4 linked regions of the Macaca fascicularis genome follow. The main gene of each other region encodes a partner of the protein of the gene in region 3 in a complex. Links are inferred from orthologs where the notes say so. Each region holds a gene or a part of one and is shown on either strand. Other genes may lie near its edges.

Region 1 (4,915 bases), on a different chromosome or scaffold from region 3:
AATGAAATTTTTAATGGATTCAAGTAATAAAAATGCCTACTTGAAAAATTTGCTAAGCCAATATATTAACACTGAGAAATTTTACTCTTAGGAAATTCTAGAAAATTTGGTTCTTTTAAATCTTAAAAATAAACGTTTACTTTTACTAAATTTAGATTACTTTTGCTGTTAATCACTATTACTGGCCAAAGAGTCTACATGTTTTATTCCAAGTAATGATTTAGGTCTTGGATGTTGATACTACGATGCTGTTTCCAATTTCTCAGCCTCCCAAATCAGTTTTTAAGATAGATGTTATTCAGTAAAAGAGAAGGTAATACAAATCACATTTTTACTTACCATCAAATGCTTTATATTGCCAGTTAGGAGTATGAGATTTTCATAAGCGACTCAAAAAAAAAAAAAAATCCATAGAAACCATTGCCATTTTCCCTCAGTTTTAACTGGGCACTCACTATTAGTTCTACTGTAGTCCAGTCCCTGTTTCTTATTCCTAACAGGTGAGTTTCTAAGGTTCTTATCTGTAAATTTAATTGAGTCAAACTGAATCTATTAACTTGGAACATTTACCTTGGTATTATCTGGGAAGAAATGTTTTTAAAACTGTAAAGATCACAATAAAAAGGTTCAGATTATCATGTGGACAAATTGGCTTTAGCATCCCATATACTTCAGAAGCACAAATGTAATATAAACTTGACAATTTATAAATTATTTACTCCCTTGGGACAATATTACATTAGCTTCCTTTATTACTGAATTATGTACAGAGATGCTGTACAGGGAAAAAAAAATATCCTCAGAAGGGTTAAAATGCAGTGTATTTTGATGAATCTTTGCATAAATGTAAAACTCTGATTATCCCAGGACGACGGTAAAAGATGATTAAGCAAAAGATACACGTTAAGTATAATTTCCTGCAAATTGGTATCATCATCAAATTTAGCATTATATAGGGACATAGCTTATTATCCATAATTAACCAAACCAAGTCCCAGAATATGAAAGTCAATAAAACAGTTCAATTTGATTTTAAAAACACACAAAATCCTTTAATGCCACATTCTATAAATTCAAATCTTGTTTAGAAATACATTTGCAATTAATTTCCTCAACATTAATTTTTAAACAAGTTTAGGTTGAAGTATTGCAAATATACTGTGCCTGGTAATAAAAGATACTAAAAAAGGTTATCCTAGAATGATACTGATTTACCTTGTATACTACAAATGTCTAAAAGTAATAATTTTTAAAAACAATTGAAGAATAAAGACTAAAATGGAAACAGAGGCTAATATTTTATAAGTTTGTTACTAGGAACATCCAGTCACCCTAACAAAACTTTTAGCATCAAATCAAAATTCCCTACTTATTTCAGTCATTTCTGCATCACAAAATAGTTTTGCTTTTATTATTATGCTTCGGTGATTCCTGATGGAACACAGGAAAAGAAGATACCCTAGAATCAAACAGGAACTTGACAAAGCCATGGTTTTACCCTTTTTTTTTTTTTTTCAAAAAATTCTGAATTTTGAGGACAGGGAAAAAAAGATAGGGGATTTTTCTTACCAAGCCCTGCTGGTAGAATATACTTTTACTTAAAGAAAACAGGGTTTCTAATAAAAATCAGCTTGGCACAGGTACTTAATTTTTACATCTCTTTAAAAGGACTTGCTCTGTAACAGCTGTGATACTTAAGAATGTAATATCAAAGTTCCTTTCTTTCACTAGTCGTGGTTCCACCAAGTCAGTCATTTTCAACGAAACAAAAACCAATGAGTAAAGGTTCAGTTAACCATCCGAAGTGTTACAAAGATTACATTAACTAGGTGCTCAGGTAAATCGAACACCAATTGTACCGATTTTTTCAGTTTTTGGTTATATATCAGAAAAGAATAAGAACAAGAACAAAGGAAAAGGATAGATTATTAAAAAATAATACATTTCATTTAAAATGTTACCTTAAAGGGAAATACAAACAATGGATAAAATAGTTGCTATATCCCTGTCACACTGAAGCAGCACAGTAATATTGGTGTTTAATACATATTTCACTACGCCAATATTTACGTGCTGCTAGAGTGGAACAAGTATGTCAGTTCATCCAAACATAAAATGAACATCTGATGATGAAAACATAGTTTTGAATGAATTTCCTTAAATTTCTAGAGCAGCAAATAATGATTCGCATCTTGACTGTAGTATGTAAACCATGATGTGCTGCTACAGTACTTTAAGGCCTCAAAAATACAGGATTCATCCAACCTAACTTTATAGAAAAAAAAGTAACAAGAATAAGATAATCTTGGAAGTCTTTAATAAACTTACCTGTAAAATTAAAAATCTATTATGGTCCAAGTCAATTCCATGGCTTCGAAGAAGATTTCCAACATCCTTAAATGTCTTTTTCTTTCCACTTATGTGATAGACAGAAGTATTATCTCTGTAGGCCGTTCTGGATACATAGAAATTACTGTTCGGAATGACTTCATAATCATCCCCTTCCTGTTTTGAGGAAAAACAAAACCAGAAAACAATTGTTGGTATTAAGTCATAGGCCTACTTCAAAATTCACTCATTTCATACTGAAACTAATTCTATGGATTAAAAACTTCAATTGAACACGCACACAAACTGCCAGTAGTTCTCAATAATAACTCGGCTTAGCAAAGAATTGATAGTTTTCCATGCTGCTTGGTCTTTCTCAAAGATCATAAAAACCAAGAAGCCAAACCAACCAGCCAACGAAAAAACTCACCTCCAAACAAGCCTAAAAACATTTATGATTCAGAAGAGGTAGACAAGATTCCTACCATATTCAAAACTCACACAAATTATTAACATGTTGACAGATTTAAAAAGCTGCAGCTTTTAAAAATGATGATTCAAAGAAAAAGGAAGGAAGGTAGTAACGGGGTGATACAGTTTAGTTTTTTTGTGTGGGAGGGTAAAGAGTGTGCCATTAATTTAAAGTAAAAAGCATCACAAAATAACTAAATTCCCTAGGTTTTCTTTTAAACAAACAAGATGTAAAAAAAAAAAAATCAATTGCAAATCTACTTTAACACTCACTTTCCCTTACCCTTAAAAGTTCTGTCATACTGAAGCAATGGCTTCTAAAATTTAGATAAATCAAATGTAATTAATAGGCAATGGAATAAAATCTGATTTACTGGCAATCTATTTTCCAACCCAACTTGTACAATAGAAAGCACAAAAGAAACCAAATTAAAATAGATGATTCTGTGTAATTAAAGCACTTTGTACTTTTTTAAAAAAAAGGAAAACAAAATTCAAAAGCCAAATCACCTCCCAATTTCATTACGTAATTAGTTTTCTATATTTTTAGGTTCCATCGAGTCATTTTTGAACAATTAATTTCCTACATTAATTATTAAACAGAAGCAAAAGTATCAACAGGTAAATAATCTAGACATTTTACCTGTAATTGTCTCTATTTCTAGAAAACAAACATTAGCTTGCCCTTCCCCCATTTCAAAAGGACTTAATCACAGCAGTAGTCAAACTGAAGCAAAGCTCCTTCATATCATAGATACTCAGGGGCCACTAACATTAAAGTTAAAATGCATTGAAATAATAAAGATGGTAAAACCAGCCAATTGCCATATTTTCAAGTTTAGCTAATTTATTCTAAAGCAACCAAAATATAACTTTAAAAATGAACCCAATATTTATAGTAAAATAATGCCTATTTAGTACTCGGGATCCTAAAACTGCTCAATGTTTTTATTCCAAAAAGGATTACTATGAACTATTTGTAATTCATTTCTTTAGCTAAAAATTTAATATTTTAAAAGGCACCACCACCACTCCCCCAAAATAAAACATGGTCAGAGGTAATGAAACCAATACTTTCTGCTATAATTACATACAAATTTCTTAAAGTCAAAAATAATAAAATATGCAATGCATTTAAGTCCATTTGCCTTGCTTGAACTTGTCAATTACTAAACAGTAAAAATCCCTTACCTTATCAATTATCTTTTGAAAATGAACTTCTACGGTACAACTCTGAATGTCCTTGTGTTCATCAGAATTATGTATTAATACTGAGAGTTTTTTAGATCTTATTTTTTGTGCTCGATAGCCAAACACAAAAAGCATAGAATCAATAACATTGGATTTGCCACTGCCATTTGGCCCGATAATACAGGAAAAGCGCTGCATTAAAAAAACAAAAACAAAACAAGTAAAAGTTCATAAGGTCAAGCTAATACTACTGATTTTAACTTAAACCGTTCGGTTTTTTTACTTTACTTGCAGTTAAAAACTGCAAGTATTTAAAAGTTTTTATTGCTAATCACGGACATACAACTTGAGTTTTCTTACATCAAGTTCTCCTCTCTTAAAAGTTTCAACATTTAATAAGAATGCTCTAATTCTAACGCAGACGTTTTAGAAAACTCATTTTATAGTTAAATTATCTAAGGGTTCCAACGAAAGCTTTAAGAAAAAAAATTATCTAAGGGAAAATACTATTTCAAACAAAAACACCGACTCCATTCAATAGAAAACTTTACAGCTAGAGGTACCAAAGATAACCAGATAAACAAAAGATAATTTAAGTGTTAAAATCATATGAAACGTGTGTGCGTGTGCGAGAGAGAGAGAGAGAGAGAGAGAGAGAGAGAGAGAAAGAAAGAGAGAAAGAGAAAGAATGGCTATCACGATAAACAGGGAGTGAGTGAATTTTAGGATAGTTACAAAGCTGAAACATCTTGTAAATACGTTATTACCTTACAATAGGTATTTAAAAGTTATAAAATAGTTATTTCCATACAAATACCTTATGGAAAGGTCCCAGAATTTTCTCCCCAGCATAGGATTTGAAGTTCTGGTTTACAATATGAGTTATCATAAGCCGAGGAGCTCCAGCTTCATTGGTCATTGCTGG
Region 2 (5,453 bases), on a different chromosome or scaffold from region 3:
TCAGTATGGTTTCATTAAGTCATCTCAGACACCATACTCTACTATCACACTTAAATTGTCATTTATTGGGTATGACTGTCTCACCTACCAGACTGAGGTCCTTAAAGACAAGTTCTGTTTCTCATTCTTCTAACTACATCCCAGTACATTCAAGAACACCCAATATACATCAAGTATTTAATAAACATTGAATAAATATTGGTTCATTTATTTTCCTGATAGGACTACTAGGTTGGTAGTTCATATATTAATGTATTTGAAGAGACCTCTCTGACAAAAACTTTATAATTTTGGTGAAGATACAAGTTTATAGCCTGAATGAGGACAGGAACAATTAGGTAGATTATTAGTAAGAGACTTAGTGACAGTTCCTAAAGGATAAATATTTGATGGATGCCTAATGACACAGAACAGGATTCTGTCCTAACCTAGCCTATATTTCTTTTTTTTTTTTTTAAATCAGAGGCTTCCATTAAAATAGAGGAGAAAATCTGTAAGTGATAAATAATAAGATGGACAGTAAATGGGAGTTGACTACATTTTTAAAAACAAAACCTTGGGCTGGGCACGGTGGCTCACGAGGCCGAGGCAGGCAGATTACAAGGTCAGGAGACTGAGACCACCCTAGCCAACACAGTGAAATCCCGTCTCTACTAAAAATACAAAAAAAAATTAGCCAGGTGTGGTGGTAGGTGCCTGTAGTATCAGCTACTCAGGAGGCTGAGGCAGAAGACTCTCTTGAACCTGGGAGACGAATATTGCAGTGAGTGAGATGTTACCCACTACACTCCAGCCTGGGTAACAGAGCAAGACTCCGTCTTCAAAAAAAACCAAAAACCAAAAAACAAAACAAAACAAAAAACATTGACAAGCTGAAAACACTGCCTGACTATATTAATAACACACATAAAAAAAAAGCTCTACTGAGAAAAATAGAAGTAGAATGTCTAAAATGAAACAATAACTCTAACTAGACCGATTTTAATACACTCAATCTAAGGTGTCATTAAAAGATAGATAGATGAATGCAGGGGCAGGGAGGGAAACTGGAGCATACCTGGTATAATCAGGCAAGTGAAGGAACTAGGAACAAACATCAATGAAAGACCTGGTAAGATTTCACTTAGAACTAAAACACATATGCTTGCAGATCACTTGAACACTGAAGTAGGGAATAAGTCAGATTTGCTCTTAGTGCTCTCAAGAGGACTAGGATTAATGAATAAAATTTGAAGACAGCAGACTCTGACAAAATTTATAGGGGTAACTTTCTAGTAAGACCTGTCCAAAAACAGAATGGGTTATCTCAGAAGACTGCAAGATCTCAAGTACACAGGTGTTCAAGAACAACCAGAGAAGATTCAAGTATGGTTTAAGATTTCAGCATAGCTGAGTGCTTATACCGGATGAATAACTTTTCAGTTCTCTTTCAGTTCTCTTAGTGATAGAGTGTACATGATCAAAATTTTAATGTAAGGAAGATATTAAGGAATCTAGTCAGAATTTAAGGCACAAATTTTGCTCATCAACTTTCTCTAGCACGTTTTGCAAAGGCATAGGGCCAAAAACCACATCAGACATAAAAGGTCTTAAGATATCGAAATGTTTAATAGCCACTCACCTGCCTTGTTACTGTGATTTCATCATGAACCTCAAATCCTAAAGGACTTTGCTTTTTGTCAGAATTATCAAATGTGATTGACACAGAGGCTTTGGTAATACCAGCCTGCCCATTTTTGTAAACTAAATCTTGTAAATTAGAAGCTCGAACCTAAAATAAAAGAAGAAAAGTGTATCAATTACAAAACTCCCTACAAAGCAGCACTAAAAATGAATTCCTTGCTGTTGGAAAACCCACCAACATAGTGTCCACTAAGCAGACAAGGATAGGCAGCTGCATACTCTGGCAAGGAAAATAGGTAACAACCTGAAATGGACACTCTTCTCTATAGAACCTTTTCAACTCTGAATTGAATTGTTTCCTATTCATTTTTTAACAAAAAGTTACTTGGCAAGATATAAGGAAAGACAGTCCCAATGATTTTCACTAGTCATTCAATCTATTAGCAGGATTTGAAAAGGCATCATTACACAGGGTTGAAAATACTCTGGAATGAGACTACTTTACAGTCAGAAAGCCTGAGTTTTGAGGCATTGTTACTTATAAACATCTCCAACATAAACATCTCTATGTTTCTATTTTCTCATCTAAAGGAGTAATAATAGTTTCCTTAAAAGGTGACAGTGAGGTGTAATTTACAAAAAGTATAAAAACACAAATGAAGAGAATATTGTTAAGTCTCCAAAGTTCAGGGAGGATTCTCCTGCCCACTTATATTCAAATAAATCAGAAAGTTTACACTTTACCTGAGACAGGTTGGAGATGCCCAGCAAAAAGCAGATGGAGTCCAATATGTTTGATTTTCCACTACCATTTAAGCCAGTGATAGCATTGAAGAGGGGGTCAAAACCATTGACTTCGGTTCTCTGAGCATAGGACTTGAATCCCTCTAGAATAATTGACTTAATATGCATTTTCGATACTGTCTTGGGTCAGCAAACCTCTGACAGGAATCAAACAGGCCACAAACCAGTTCTGTACGAAACAGAAATACCACCACCTAAGTGGAATGTAAACCTGGAATCATAATGAACACTAGGCAAAAACGGTAATGATAGGGTAATAGAAATAAAACAGCCACTTGACAAACTATCTTGTCTGATGTAAAGACATCGTTCATCTACTCAAAAATATAACAGAGTTAGCCACTATCTGGAAATTAAACCATTCAACTGGGAAGTCTTAACTATTTCTTACACCTGTTTTTCCAGGCTTGCCTTCTACTTTCATCATACTCTAGCTAATAAAGACTACGGATTATTTCATACCCCATTATCTTTGCCCACAATGTGCTTTTTTCTGATACTGACATAGCTTACTCTCTACTGCACTCACGTCTTTGCTCAAATGTGTCACCCTACTGGAGTCCTCCCTGACCTCCCTGTGTCACCTCTCCACACTTCTTCACTCGGCTTTTTCCTTCATGGTACTTAAAACTGGTATTAGACGGTCATTACTTGTCTGTAAGTTCCTGTAGTATCTTCACCTACGTTCATCATTGCATCCCCGAATTGTGCTTGACTCCGGGAGGAGGGGAAGTCATCTAAGTATTTACTAGGGATGAGATGTATCTCATATTCTCCACCGTCTTGCTTTTACTCAGGCTGTTACTTCGCTTCTTGAGGCCTGTCTACACCTCTTCGCCCTACTCCAAGGCCGAATAGGAACTAGCCTTTATTTCTAAGGATCACCTAAGGTCCTCCTCCCCATAGCTCCCGCGTCCCGCCTCCCGCCAGGATGTCTGGCCGGGCTCAACCGGCCGTGCTCACGCACACGCCTCACCGCTGCCTCAGGCCAGGGCTTGACGCACCCCAAAAGCTCCTCCGGGTCACAAAGGCGGGGAGCAGGCCAACTCTCTAGCCGCGGCTGCTACGAAGAGAACTTCACCATAGCGGATACAACACCTGCCGCACCGCTCTCAACACCCGCGCCGGAACTATTTATTCCTTTGAATTTCGGCGCGAGCAAAGGACCCCACCTCCATTGCTTATTTCCTGTGCTGGTGCCTAGGAGCTGCCTGTCTTTAGGATTCCATTTTTCCCCTACACGCGAAGGATTAACGCTTCAGGGCAATAGGACGCAGAGTCTCGATAATGGCAGCTCCGGGGACTCCCAGGCGCGGGCCTGGGCACTACAAGAGCAGGTAGTATATGTTCACACCGGCGTCCGGCACGCTATGGTCAGCCCCACACCTCGTCCCCAGGTCCTCGCGCTTCGTCAGCCCCGCCCCTCCTCGGGTCCTCTAGTCAGCGTTCGGCGCCCAGCAGACTCCGCCTTCTCGAGTTCTGGGCGGTGCTCACCGCGGCTTACTACTCTTCACGCAAAGCGACAGAATCAGGAGGTGTAGAGGCATTCTTTGAGTGTTCTTGTCGGTTCTGTTTTGGAAGCCTCTGAATCTTCTTGGGTTGGCTCAGATTGCTGCAAAGTAAAAGCTGTATTTCGGTGGGGTCGGAGAGGCACAGTCCTTCGGAGGACTCTGGCCCGCGTCCTGGCTCGGTCCCGTGCTGCCTTCGGACTTCGCCGAGCGTTTTTATCTGAAATTTTCACGTCGGGAAGGGATCGTAGTCTACTGAGAGCTGTTCTGAGCCCAGAGGAGTTGTGTGGTGCTAAATAGCTGTTCACCTCCCTTACACTGGAAAGCGTTGTAATGATAAGCCTACCTAACCTGTCAGGGATTTTTTCTGGAAACCTTTTAAGACAGTTCATATTTATTGAGTTCTGAGTGTTAGGCTATGTTCCAAGGGGCTTTTTAAAATCCTCGTAGCAACCCTGTGAAATCAGAAATTGCCCTCGTTTTACAAATGAGTTGAATGAGTCCAAGTAAAAGGTTAAGCAGTTTGTCTAGTAAGCTGGGATTTGTTTCCAGTCTAGTTCCAGATTGCATGCTTTTAAATACATACTAGGCTCCATGCATAGAATCTAGTACTATTCACCGATCCTGTTAATTGGTATGTATTGTTCTTTAGAAAGAAAAAAGGTGTCAGCATTACTTACGTTTCCAAGCACGTTGATACTAAAGAGTTAGGAAGGATTTAACTCCGAATGGGTATGGTGTTTTTCTAGGTGAGGTACAAAAACATGGTGTGGACAATGCCATTTTGGGATGGCTTGATCCTTTTGGGCTTCCATAACAAAATACCATAGACTGGGTAGCTTATGAACCACAGAGGTTTATTCTTCACATTTCTGAAGGCTGGAATGTCACAGAACAAGGTGTGTCTAGGAAGGAGTGCTTTCTGTTCAGTGGATAGCACCTTCTGACCCTGTCCTCACATGGTGGAGAGGCAGAGGCCCTCCCTTGGGCCTATCTTATAAGGGCCTTTCCTTTCTTCCCATTCCTCACTTCCCAAGAGGCCACTTGCCAAAACCATCAGTTTGGGGGTTAGGATTTCAAAATGTGAAGTTTGAGGGACATATTTAGACCATAGCATAGGGCGTGTTTTTAAAGTTGCTTTCTTGGCCCTGGAATGGCAATGCAGTCGTCTGAACTGGTCTTAATCTACCAGGAATGGGCCTAAATTTTGAAAATATTTCTCGTTAAGGGAGTAAAATAAGTTTTATGGGTTTTTTGTTTAAGAAAGGATTCATTTATTTACTCTGATATGCTTACCCACTTCTGTGATGTCAACCATGGGTAGTGACCTAACATTAATTTACTTCAGCAGATATCTTTGTCTGCCTTGAATCCTGCATCCCCTAGGCTCCACAGCTATTCAATTGTATTGATTCTGTTAACTCTTACACATTTACTTTCACCTGTGTCTCCTTCCTTTTATCATTTTGTGAGTAAATAATTTTTAATTTGCCAACAAATCCTAATGTGGACGTAGTC
Region 3 (4,753 bases):
CCCCTCGCCCTTCGCCGAGCTCGTTCTGCCGCCGCAGCAATAAAGCTCCTTTGCCGCGAAACTTTGTGGGTGCTTGGCTCGCCGGGGCGGGAGCGAAGGGATCGGGGCCGCGGGGGCGGGGCCGTCTCGGCGAACACGTGACCTGCGGTGGGCTCCGCCTTCCGCGCAAGCGCCGAGAGCGCGTCAGCGGCCGTGCCCGTCTGCGCATGGGCAGCTCCGGGGAACGCCTGCGCCCTGGCTGCGAGCTTGTGGCGCCCACGATACCTGAGCCCGCGAGGAGCCCGCGAGGAGCCCGCGGGGCGGAGCGCAGGGAGCTGGAGGTCGCGCTGCCTCTCGGGGGACTGGTCCACTGACGCGCGGCCCCGCCGCGAGGTGCGGACGCCGGGGCCGGGAGGGAAGGAGGTAGCCCTGGGCGCTCGCTGGACTCCAGGGTAGTTTCCCAGCTCCGGCTACTGCGCGGGGCTGGCGGGGGGCACCCCGAGGGCGCGCTGGAGGGAGGAGCGAGGCTGGGGCGCCCGGGGGAGGCTCCCGGCTAGCACCGGTGTTCTCGGTGCGGCCGAGCACAGTTCTAACGCGCTCGCGCGGTTCTTTACGTGGTCCTGGGACCTTTCTGGCCACGAGGGCGTTGGCCTTGGTGGGGAGGGGACAAGCCCAGAACCGCCCGGGCGGAGGGTGCCCTCAGCAGGAGGGGGGGCAGTGACGAGGAGTCCTGAGACCTCCACCTAGCAAACCTTCCGGGGGGGGCCCGTGGGAAAGGCGCAAAGATCACCAACGCAAAGGCAGAGCGTCGGCTGTGAGCCGGGAGGAGCTGCTGGGAAGCCTGGATGTGAGGAGGGTGGGGTTTTGTGGCGGTGGAAGGAAAGGTTAAATACGGCAGGCAGGCAGAGTCCGAGCTCCGGGGGTAGGTCGTGCAGGTTTGCTGCTTGCAGTGTGGAGGAAGGCCACGGTTGGCTTAAGTGGCCCGAGGTGACAGGAAAGTGCTGGAGGAATCGGTTACTCTAGGGACTGCAAGCCAGAGTTACCCACCTCCTTTTAAGAAATGGGTTTATTGCGAATAGATAACGTGGTTAGGAGTCCAGGCAAGGCATGCACTTGGAATGCTTTCAGTCAGCAAGAGGGTCACCTTGCTGAGGTGCAGGGCAAGGTGTGGCAGGCTGGTGATCCCAGGTGGAGGACAGGAGTGACAGGTGTGGATGTTTGGTGGAGGTGTTCTGAGCTCAGGTGAGCAGTGACAAACGCCTGTTAAGCCTGAACGTGGCCTGGGTCCTTCGGATGGGTTGACTGGTCTCTCCAGTCGCAGGGGCAGCCCAGGCACCGTCCTGGGCCTTCCCTTCTGGCTCCTGACACCTGTGCTTGTTTCCAGGAGCATCAGATCCATGCTGCTGCTGACTCGGAGCCCCACAGCTTGGCACAGGCTCTCTCACCTCAAGCCCCCAGTCCTCCTTGGGACCGTGGGAGGCCAGGCCCTGCATCTGAGGTCCTGGTTTTTGTCAAGGCAGGGCCCTGCAGAGACAGGTAGGCAGGGCCAGCCTCAGGGCCCTGGGCTTCGAACCAGGCTGTTGATCACAGCCCTGTTTGGAGCTGGACTTGGTGGGGCCTGGCTGGCCCTGAGGGCTGAGAAAGAGAGGCTGCAGCAGCAAAAGCGAATAGAAGCCCTGCGCCAGGCAGCTGTGGGCCAGGGCGACTTCCACCTGCTGGACCACAAAGGCCAGGGTCGCCGCAAGGCTGACTTCCGGGGCCAGTGGGTGCTGATGTACTTTGGTTTCACTCACTGCCCTGACATCTGCCCAGACGAGCTGGAGAAGCTGGTGCAGGTGGTGCGGAAGCTGGAAGCAGAGCCTGGTTTGCCTCCAGTGCAGCCCGTCTTCATTACTGTGGACCCCGAGCGGGACGATGTGGAAGCCATGGCCCGCTATGTCCAGGACTTCCACCCAAGACTGCTGGGTCTGACCGGCTCCACCGAACAGATTGCCCAGGCTACTCACAGTTACCGTGTGTACTACAGTGCCGGCCCCAAGGATGAGGACCAGGACTACATCGTGGACCACTCCATTACCATCTACCTGCTCAACCCTGACGGCCTCTTCACCGATTACTACGGCCGGAGCAAGTCAGCTGAGCAGATCTCAGACAGTGTGCGGCGGCACATGGCGACTTTCCGCAGTGTCCTGTCTTAAGCCACTGCAGCCTGGGCCCCATCATTAAACAGGGTGCGTTTAATCTGTGCGTGTGTGATCTGTACCAGCAGCCCATGGAGGTCAGGCAGCCCTCTTCTCTGCGCAGGGCAGGTGTACGGAAAAGGGTTTTTGGGGGAAGATGAGATGGCAACACTGCTTTATTAGGCTGGGCCAGCCAGGAGCAGATGCACGGCTCCTCAGTACACATCCCCCACCCCTGCCTTGGTGCTCCCCACTCAGGGCTGGGCCATGGAGGGGGCAGTGTAGGTCTGGAAGCGCTTGTGGGCTCGCTGGTGTGTGAGCAGTCTCAGGGACATGGTGTCCACGGCCGTCTCCAGCCCAGGCTGCTGGGTGATCTCCACTGTGTAGTCATTGGCCTGCAGGGGCGGGGCATCAGCAGGGTCTGGGAACCGTCTCCCCCTCCCACGCATCGCAGGCCACTCACCAGCTGCAGGGAGGCCAGCATAGAACGGCACACCTCGAAGGCCGGCTGGCCGGCCACCAGCTCCGCAAAGGGACACCACTCATTGAGCTGGGGGAACCGCGAGACCACCTGGTCCCCATAGGTGTGGATGTCAAAGGGTACATGCTGCTCCTGCACAGGGGAGGGGCGTGTTGGCTGTGGAGAGAGGCAAGGCCTGGGACAGGCCTGCAGCAGACAGCTCTGGTTCCCAGCGACCCCGCCTCACCTGCTCCTGGAGCAGAGGCTGCACTGTGTCCTCCCAGTCCCTGATGCGCTGGCTCAGCTCTGTCTCCTGGACAAACTTCTGGGAGGTGGCGATGAAGAGCTCCTAGGAGAGGATCAGCAGAAGGTACTGCCTCCCAAGCAGGGCCTGGGCGCCTCTCACCTATCCCCCTCCCCTCCCCGTCCCTCTCTAACCCAGGCCTACCACGTTCCTTCGAACCAGCTCCTCGTAGCTCAGGGACACCGGCACTGTGTCTGGGAAGGGGCAGCTGTGAGCTGGGCAGCTGAGGGGCCACACTCTCCCCTGCCCCCAGTTCCAGTGGCCCCTCAGCACTCCTAGCCCGCTGCCCACCTACCAAGGTCAGCAGCTTCCCTGGGGTCTGCTCCCTCAGGCTCCACATACTCCTCAGGTTCTAGAAAGTCATCTGCTGGGAGGTGGGAGAGTAGACAGCACAGAGGCAGCCAGTCAGCTGGCAGCAGGTGCCAAGCCCCACCCCACCCCCACCGGCAGGCACCCACCTGCTGCCCCCAGGTCTTCCAGAGAATCCTCCAGGTGGTCCTCCTCTGCAGACCACAGCCCTTCCTCGGCCCTCGGCAGCCACTGCTCGGCCACCTGTCCAGAGACAGCATCTGTGAGGGGCACTGTCATCTCCCACCAGGGCCGCCACGGGGTCCTAGATCACAGCTGACCAGTTGGGACTTGCCTCCCTCCTCTGCAGCTTCCGGAGAGTTTCCAACTGCTCCTTCACGTGTGTCCAGTACAGGACCTCCATGTCTGCAGACAAAGACCTTGTGAAGACTCCCTTGTCCTTCCCAGGCCCTGTGCCAGTCCACCCGAGGCTCTGGTGACACCAGGTGGGGGCAGAGGTAGGGGAAGGGGAGTAAAACTGTCTTCCCTGAGGACTTCAGCCTCACCTGCAAAGGACGGACCCTTTCGCCGAGGCCTCCGGCTGTCAGCATGGTCAGCATCTGTGAGAGAACATGGTCAGCACCAACCAGGCCAAGAGCTGCCCACGGCAGTGGGGAAAGGGCGTTGATCCTCCTCCACGGGCCCTGGCCCAGCCCCCAGCTCCCAGGGGTCCGGAGTGCGTAGCACACCCACTCACAGGCAGCCAGGTACCACTGGTGGAAGTCCTGCAGCTTGGCAGCACTCTTCCTCTTGCGCTTCTGTCCCGGAGCCTCCTCCACACAGGGGGGCACAGAGTAAGGCCTACCTAGAGGCAAACAGGGACTGTCTTAGAGCTGCTGGGCAATCAGGGTGCAAAGCCCTCTCCCACCCCCCTACCTCATGCCCCAGGAGACCCAGCCAGGAGTACCTGAGTGGAGGTATCTTCCACCCAATTACCTTTCTTGAAGGGCTTAGACTCCAGGGAGTCAAAGGGGTCCAGGCTCTGCCAGGGCTCTGGAGTCTCCTGGGCACAGAGCACAAGAAGGCGCTGGAGGAGTAGGGGGTGCACAGCCGCCCTCCCAAAGGAGAAGTAGGGGGTGCACAGCCGCCCTCCCAAAGGAGAAGTAGGGGGTGCACAGCCGCCCTCCCAAAGGAGTAGGGGGTGCACAGCCGCCCTCCCAAAGGAGGAGTAGGGGGTGCACAGCCGCCCTCCCAAAGGAGGAGTAGGGGGTGCACAGCCGCCCTCCCAAAGGAGGAGTAGGGGGTGCACAGCCGCCCTCCCAAAGCCCAGGCAACAAGTGCGGTGACAGCCTGGGACAGAGCCGACCACACTCAAATCCTGGATCACAGAGGGGAACACTCGAGGGAGGGTGGGGGCCCAGAGTCGCATGAGGGGGTCTCTAAGAGAGCAAGTGCAAAGGGCCACAGGCTGAGAACACCGCAGGAGCAAGAGCATGATGGGCAGGCAGCCAGTCCTCGAATCTGCCCGTCCCTCCCTGCCAG
Region 4 (5,589 bases), on a different chromosome or scaffold from region 3:
AAGCCACTTGTGGTACTTGTGGTCCAGCCACAGCCTCACATGGAGCCGGCAGCTGTGCAGGCACCTGGAGCTGCCTGCCCCACCACAGCAGCTGCAGAGCTGGGTATGCGCAGTGGTTGGACCTCATGCTCGCTTGCTCACATAGCCCTTGCTGCTCTGCACCTGGCTCACCCTTGGCAGGCGTGGGATCTGGGTCGGTAGTGCAAGCCCAGCACAACCTGCTGGGCCGAGTGGGCTTGAGCAAAACTCTAACAGAGGCGCCGCTGGCCACGGAGGTTTCTAGCTGGTGAAGTGATACCGAAAGAATCCTATGACATTAGCGGCTACATGGGCAGGTGCATTGGGGGCACAGTCAACGCTCCTGCTGCCCTGCTCCCACGTGCCTCTGAGCACTGCACTACACAGACATTTAGGCCTCATAATAACTCCCTAGAGGAGGCTGAGCTCTGCACTACACAGACATTTAGGCCTCATAATAACTCCCTAGAGGAGGCTCAGTACTTAAGTAGGTCCCATCTAATAGATGAGGAAACTAAGGCTTAGTCGTCCATGGCCTGTCGAAGGTCACCAGCTAGTGAGCACAGAACCAGGTTAGCCCAGGTGGTACAGCTTCAGAGCTCACATGTGTAACTTATTACGTTATTCCTATTCAGGAAGCAGAACCACCAGGAACAAATGGCTGATTGGAGGAGGGACCAGCATAAGGAAAGGGGCAGGATTCAGGGTTGGGAGAGGAAATTGATTTCCGTTTTGGATGCATGTCAGCACCGGGAATAGGCAGTGAGCTGTTGAAAATTCTGGAGTTCAGAAATAACCGTGTCTTGCAATTCCAGATGCAGAGGTCACTGCTCAAAGGTGGCAGTTTGCACCTTGGATATGAAGGAAATTGCTAAGAAGAAAGCAGTGAGAAGAAGGTGAGGGCACCAAAATTCAAGAAACTGCAGGGAAGGAGATGTCTGTGTATGGAGGGAAGAGGTCAGAGGTGGCTGGAGCTCCAGGATGAAATAGGCGATGTTAGATATCGGCCACCTGTTGACAAGGGTCCGAAACTCGGCATGCTCTGAGTGGGTCTTCTCCCTCCCCTCTGCAGCCTGCCTTGCTTCACTGTTGCAAGCTTCCCAGTAAACCACTCTTCTCCCTGCTATAATTTTATATTGCTTGTTGAAACGATATTCCAACAAGTAATATAAATATTTTTGATACACTAGCCTAAATAAAACATATTTAAAAATCAATGTCACCTATTTATTTTTTTCTAATGTGGTCACTAGAAATTTACAATTGCACTGTGGCTCCCATGATGTTCCTACTGGGTGGTGCTGTGCTCCCACAGTGCAACGACTTCAATCTCGCCGAGACCTCTGGTTTGAGTTCAGCCAGGAAAACAGATACCACTCTAGACATCTCAAGCATGAAAGAACATAGCACCAGGGAAGGCCAAAACCTCACGAAGGGATGCAGAGCTCGGTGGTAAAGAGCACCATTTTCTAAGAATTTGCTTTCAACAAAAATTGGGAACGCCCAATGAAGTTATTCGCTGACACAAATTAAAAGAGATTGATAGATCAGTATGTGCCTTTGGCATTTAAGTCCAAAGAATTAAACGACATTGCTACTCCTCCTTCACACGGGTGCCTTCGAGGGTCCCCGCTAAGGCCTCTCCCTCTCCACCCTATGGGCAGCCTACCTGCCGGGGGTGGGGGGGTAGGAGTTCTGCGGGGGAAGCACCTGCCCAGGGCGCACCTACTGGGTGCAGGCCGGACAGGTGACCCCTTGGCAGGGAGGGCGGTCACGGTAGCCGGCCAGGCCGGGGTGGGGTCCTCCCGGGGATCCAGACACGGCCCTGTGGCCTCTCCCCGCCCCAAACCTTTCCTTCCTCTCCCCGTCTCTCCCTTCCTCTCCTTCCTCCTTCCCCCAACACCGCCCGCTCCCAGCGCCCCGCCCTCTCCTGGACCGCGCACTCCCTCCGCGGAGGCCCCAGGACGCGCACAAGCTCGCAGTGGACGTCGGCGCGCGCACCGTGCATGGGTTCCCCAGCTGTGGCGCCGCGCGTGCGCGTTCCGTGGTGCCCGGTAGGGCACTGGGCTAAGCGCCCAAGAGGCGGGGCATAGACAGGAGGAAGACCGGCGGGCATGTGGGCGGGGCATGATCTGGAGGCGGGGCGGAGCGGGCGTGTGGGTAGGGCCCGAGGATCGCGGCGCCCCAGCTCTCGCGAGAGCGGCGCTGGGTGACGACCGGGAGGGCGGGGCCCGTCTGGGGCGCCGGCGGGTGCGTTTGAATCTGGTCCGAGCGCGGGAAACGGCGGGTCCCCGAGCCCAGGTGAGAGCTGCGGTGCGGAGCCGGGATTGGGTTCAGAGCAGAGGCTGGGAGGTAGCAGGGATCGGGCGGAAGCCCCTCCTCGGCTGGTCGGGGTCCCGGCCTCCACTTCCCTAAGTGGGCTGCCGACCAGCGCGCGGGCAGTGCTGCGTCTGACGGGACCGGACGGAAGAGGCGACCCCGGGCCATCCCCCCTTCCCAGCTCAGCGACGCCCGTCCTTCCTGTCCGTGTCGGAGGAAAATCCCAGCCCCGGGCGCGGGCACTGCCCTCAGAGAGAGTCCCCTCAGCCTCAGGCGCGGGCACGCCCTCAGAGAACGAACCCCCAGCCCTGAGCATGGGCACTGCCCTCAGAGAGTGTCCCCTCCGTCCTGGGCATGGGCAGTGCCCTCAGAGAGTGTCCCCTCCGTCCTGGGCATGGGCACTGCCCTCAGAGAGGGTCCCCTCAGCCCCGGGTGCGGGCACTGTCCTCAGAGAGCGACCCCCCAGCCCTGAGCATGGGTACTGCCCTCAGAGAGTGTCCCCTCCGTCCTGGGCATGGACACTACCCTCAGAGAGAGTCCCCCTCAGTCCTGGGTGTCGGTACTGCCCTCAGAGAGAGTCCCCTCAGCCCCGGGCGCGGGCACGCTCTCAGAGAGTGACCCGCCAGCCCTGAGCATGGGCACTGCCCTCAGAGAGCGACCCCCCAGCCCTGAGCATTGGCACTGCCCTCAAGAGAGTGTCCCCTCAGTCCTGGGCCTAGGCACTGCCCTCAGAGAGTGAGCCTCTCCGTCCTGGGCGTGGACACTGCCCTCAGAGTGTCCCTTCATTCCTGGGCCTGGGCGCTGCCCTCAGAGAGTAAATCCCCTCAGTCCTGGGCCTGGGCACTGCCCTCAGAGAGCCACCCCCTCCGTCCTGGGCATGGACACTGCCCTCAGTGTCCCCTCAGTCCTGGGCCTGGGCACTGCCCTCAGAGAGTAAATCCCCTCAGTCCTGGGCCTGGGCACTGCCCTCAGAGAGCCACCCCCTCAGTCCTGGGCATGGGCAGTGCCCTCAGCGACCCCCTCAGTCCTGGGCATGGGCACTGCCCTCAGACAGTGTCCCCTTAGAGAGAGTCTCCCTGAGCCCTGGATGTAGGCACTTCCCTCAGAGAGTATCTCCCCAGCCATGGACATGGGCATTGTCCTCAGAGACATCAGTCTCCTGAACTCTTGTTGCTGGTTTGGTGCCTCTTGTTGTGTCAATGAGGAAGGAGTTTGGGGACAGAGTGGAAAGTCACGGGTAGTGACAAGGTTACAGGGATTTCTTCTTTTTAATGCTCATCTTGATTCAGTACCGGACCTTCTGTGCGAAGAGTAGCCTGCTCTTTGGACTGATAACTGGGTGGTGAGATGACTCCTTACCTTGAAAGTAGCATTCTGGCTGCAGGGCTGAGATCTTATGCACATATACTACAAGAAACATGGAATATTGCCACTTTGGGAGATAGATTGAAAAATTAACCATTAAAAAATTACAGTCACTAATATAAGAGGGAAAATGGGAAATACAGGAATAAGTTTGGTAGTCTGGAGGAAGTATATTACTGTAGGTTGGACTACAATGCCAAAGAGGTACACCTGGAAATAGAGCAAACAAGAAAAGTGACCAGAACTATGAAAAAGTGGAGAGTTCACAGACTTGCCAGGTGAAGATGTATGATTCCATGTGTTTGCTGCACCTTATTGGATTATTTTTCTAAAATCATGAATTTGTCCTAGCCACTATTCGTTATGCTTGTTGCTGGCCACTCTCCCTTCCCTCCCCCATTTTCTTTGTCAGTAAAATGTATGCGAGTCATGCTTCATTTAAAGAGGGAGAAACGTTGTGGTTAGGCAAGTTCATCATTGAATGAACATCACAGAGTGAACTTGCCTACACCTAGAGGGTGTAGCCTACTGCTGCTAGAATGTTACTGTACTGTAGGCAACTGTAACAATGGTAAGTATTTGCATCGCTAAACATATCTAAGTATAGAAAAGGCACAGTAAAAATATGGCATTATAATCTTATGGGACCACAGTCATATATGTGGTCTGTTGTTGACTGAAATGTTATGTGGTCCATGACTGTGGTTCATAGTTCAGCCATTTGAGTTGAGGAATGAGATGACCAGACTTCACTGTTAACTTATTTGGGGAGTCATTAAACTGAGGTTATTTTCTGCTTTGTTCGATTTAGACATTAAAATCTAGTATTATATGTTTAAGATAACTCTCTATCCCCATAATTATTGGCAGTAATTTTCCATATTGCTCTATTTATAATGGTGCAGGTGGTTTTCATTTATTTTTAAAGTCAGGGGACTCCTACTGCAAATATGTTCCATCATTTGCTATTACCTCATCTTTAGGTTGATGTCTTTTTAGTAGGGCACCAATAGCACCAGGTGTTGTGAATGTGAAATAGAATTTCCTGGAAAAACACAGACAGGATAGAAGGTGTACAAAGTCCCCTGAGCTCTCATTATCCCGAAGGGGTGGGAGGAGAGTGCTGTGGTTACGCATTTCTAAAGGATAGTCTAACAAGATCCCAGGTGACCCCCGCCCCCCTCCCCGGGGCCACTGTTCTCCATCTCACTTTGAATAACAAGATGACACTAACAGTGGGATTTTTTTTTTTGATGGAGGAATGGCCTTTAGAAAGGGAGCATCTTCAGAATCTGCAGCTGGGATCAGATTGTTCTTTTGTTGAACCAACTCGATCTGCCGAGCCAGCATCTTGCTAAGGTACTAAAAAGGGAGAGATGGTGGTGAGCTTCCTAAGGCTATTTGGATTTCTCCCTCCTTAGTTGGTAGTTTTATTAACAGTTGTTGATAAAATATCATTAATATCATGTTATTAACATCCCCAGTAAAGGAAATAAGTAAATTGTTTTTCAGATATTATAACTTGTTTTATGTTAGAATATTTTTATAAACTGTCTGCCATACGTGGTTCAGGAATTTTCTTGCAGTTCTTGGATGTTAATATCAAATTAAATCTTATAGGAAAATATATATTTGCAAGTGTTTCAGTATGATTGTGTTTTCCACTAGGGTTGCAAAATAAATGCCATTTGAACAGTTCCATCTGTCATGGAAAAACGTGAGACATTTGTACAAGCCGTATCTAAGGAGCTGGTTGGAGAGTTTTTGCAATTTGTTCAACTGGATGTAAGTTTCAAGTTTTAGTTTTGTTGTGATTTTTGACTGTGAATAAGAAATATGTTCTAAAATCATTATGTCGCCAAACGAAACATAGTTATCTCAGTGAAT

What was found.
Region 1: the proteins of NCAPH2 (region 3) and SMC4 are in contact, whole or in part, in a cryo-EM structure (PDB 9F5W), measured with the Homo sapiens proteins. The link is inferred for Macaca fascicularis from reciprocal best matches to the Homo sapiens genes NCAPH2 and SMC4. Residues at the interface, in NP_689512.2 of Homo sapiens: Arg494, Ile495, Trp498, Glu499, Thr501, Val502, Leu505, Leu506, Gln509, Glu510, His512, Phe547, Cys550, Arg551, Met553, Leu554, Leu557, Gln558, Ala560, Asn561, Tyr563, Val565, Glu566, Ile567, Gln569, Leu573, Glu574, Ala576, Val577, Asp578; in NP_001002800.1 of Homo sapiens: Ile100, Leu101, Gly102, Pro103, Ile112, Gly113, Pro114, Ser117, Gln1151, Met1152, Leu1155, Phe1227, Lys1228, Ser1231, Ile1232, Phe1235, Tyr1236, Glu1239, Gln1240, Asn1253, Asn1254, Phe1256, Glu1257, Arg1261, Gly1264, Ile1265, Tyr1266, Lys1267, Thr1268, Tyr1269.
Region 2: the proteins of NCAPH2 (region 3) and SMC2 are in contact, whole or in part, in a cryo-EM structure (PDB 9F5W), measured with the Homo sapiens proteins. The link is inferred for Macaca fascicularis from reciprocal best matches to the Homo sapiens genes NCAPH2 and SMC2. Residues at the interface, in NP_689512.2 of Homo sapiens: Glu46, Phe53, Ile54, Glu55, Leu58, Leu59, Gly62, Ser63, Ala64, Cys65, Val66, Lys69, Tyr73; in NP_001036015.1 of Homo sapiens: Leu93, Thr125, Gln128, Asp129, Cys132, Gly135, Leu136, Asn137, Met173, Tyr174, Lys177, Lys178.
Region 4: the proteins of NCAPH2 (region 3) and NCAPG2 are in contact, whole or in part, in a cryo-EM structure (PDB 9F5W), measured with the Homo sapiens proteins. The link is inferred for Macaca fascicularis from reciprocal best matches to the Homo sapiens genes NCAPH2 and NCAPG2. Residues at the interface, in NP_689512.2 of Homo sapiens: Pro316, Trp317, Gln318, Ser319, Leu320, Pro322, Phe323, Asp324, Ser325, Leu326, Glu327, Ser328, Lys329, Pro330, Phe331, Lys332, Lys333, Gly334, Arg335, Pro336, Tyr337, Ser338, Val339, Glu344, Gln360, Asp361, Phe362, Gln364, Trp365, Tyr366; in NP_001268861.1 of Homo sapiens: Lys248, Leu251, Gln252, His292, Ile294, His295, Leu296, Pro297, Arg299, Ser300, Val302, Lys340, Ala341, Arg342, Asn343, Ser344, Glu345, Val346, Pro388, Tyr389, Pro390, Arg393, Gly425, Glu426, Ala428, Phe429, Asp430, Thr431, Ser432, Arg437.

The regions. Positions count from the first base shown.
Region 1 is NC_088376.1:63,362,140-63,367,054, reverse strand, and holds part of SMC4 (structural maintenance of chromosomes protein 4), read right to left. Parts: coding exon 4,808-4,915; intron 4,183-4,807; coding exon 3,991-4,182; intron 2,506-3,990; coding exon 2,329-2,505; intron 1-2,328. UniProt on the Homo sapiens protein: Central component of the condensin complex, a complex required for conversion of interphase chromatin into mitotic-like condense chromosomes.
Region 2 is NC_088389.1:54,028,341-54,033,793, forward strand, and holds the start of SMC2 (structural maintenance of chromosomes protein 2), read right to left. Parts: upstream 3,841-5,453; 5' UTR 3,600-3,840; intron 3,572-3,599; exon of another isoform or gene 3,395-3,571; intron 2,597-3,394; 5' UTR 2,536-2,596; coding exon 2,368-2,535; intron 1,772-2,367; coding exon 1,622-1,771; intron 1-1,621. UniProt on the Homo sapiens protein: Central component of the condensin complex, a complex required for conversion of interphase chromatin into mitotic-like condense chromosomes.
Region 3 is NC_088384.1:1,039,970-1,044,722, forward strand, and holds the end of NCAPH2 (condensin-2 complex subunit H2), read right to left. Parts: intron 4,275-4,753; coding exon 4,208-4,274; intron 4,077-4,207; coding exon 3,969-4,076; intron 3,832-3,968; coding exon 3,778-3,831; intron 3,638-3,777; coding exon 3,567-3,637; intron 3,476-3,566; coding exon 3,382-3,475; intron 3,291-3,381; coding exon 3,219-3,290; intron 3,118-3,218; coding exon 3,068-3,117; intron 2,969-3,067; coding exon 2,867-2,968; intron 2,773-2,866; coding exon 2,623-2,772; intron 2,555-2,622; coding exon 2,414-2,554; 3' UTR 2,178-2,413; coding exon of another isoform or gene 1,377-2,177; 3' UTR 1,031-1,376; downstream 1-1,030. Other genes in the region: TYMP (thymidine phosphorylase), read left to right, coding at 1-43; protein SCO2 homolog, mitochondrial, read left to right, coding at 1,377-2,177. UniProt on the Homo sapiens protein: Regulatory subunit of the condensin-2 complex, a complex that seems to provide chromosomes with an additional level of organization and rigidity and in establishing mitotic chromosome architecture.
Region 4 is NC_088377.1:199,966,107-199,971,695, reverse strand, and holds the start of NCAPG2 (condensin-2 complex subunit G2), read left to right. Parts: upstream 1-2,213; 5' UTR 2,214-2,319; intron 2,320-4,961; exon of another isoform or gene 4,962-5,061; intron 5,062-5,370; 5' UTR 5,371-5,409; coding exon 5,410-5,487; intron 5,488-5,589. UniProt on the Homo sapiens protein: Regulatory subunit of the condensin-2 complex, a complex which establishes mitotic chromosome architecture and is involved in physical rigidity of the chromatid axis.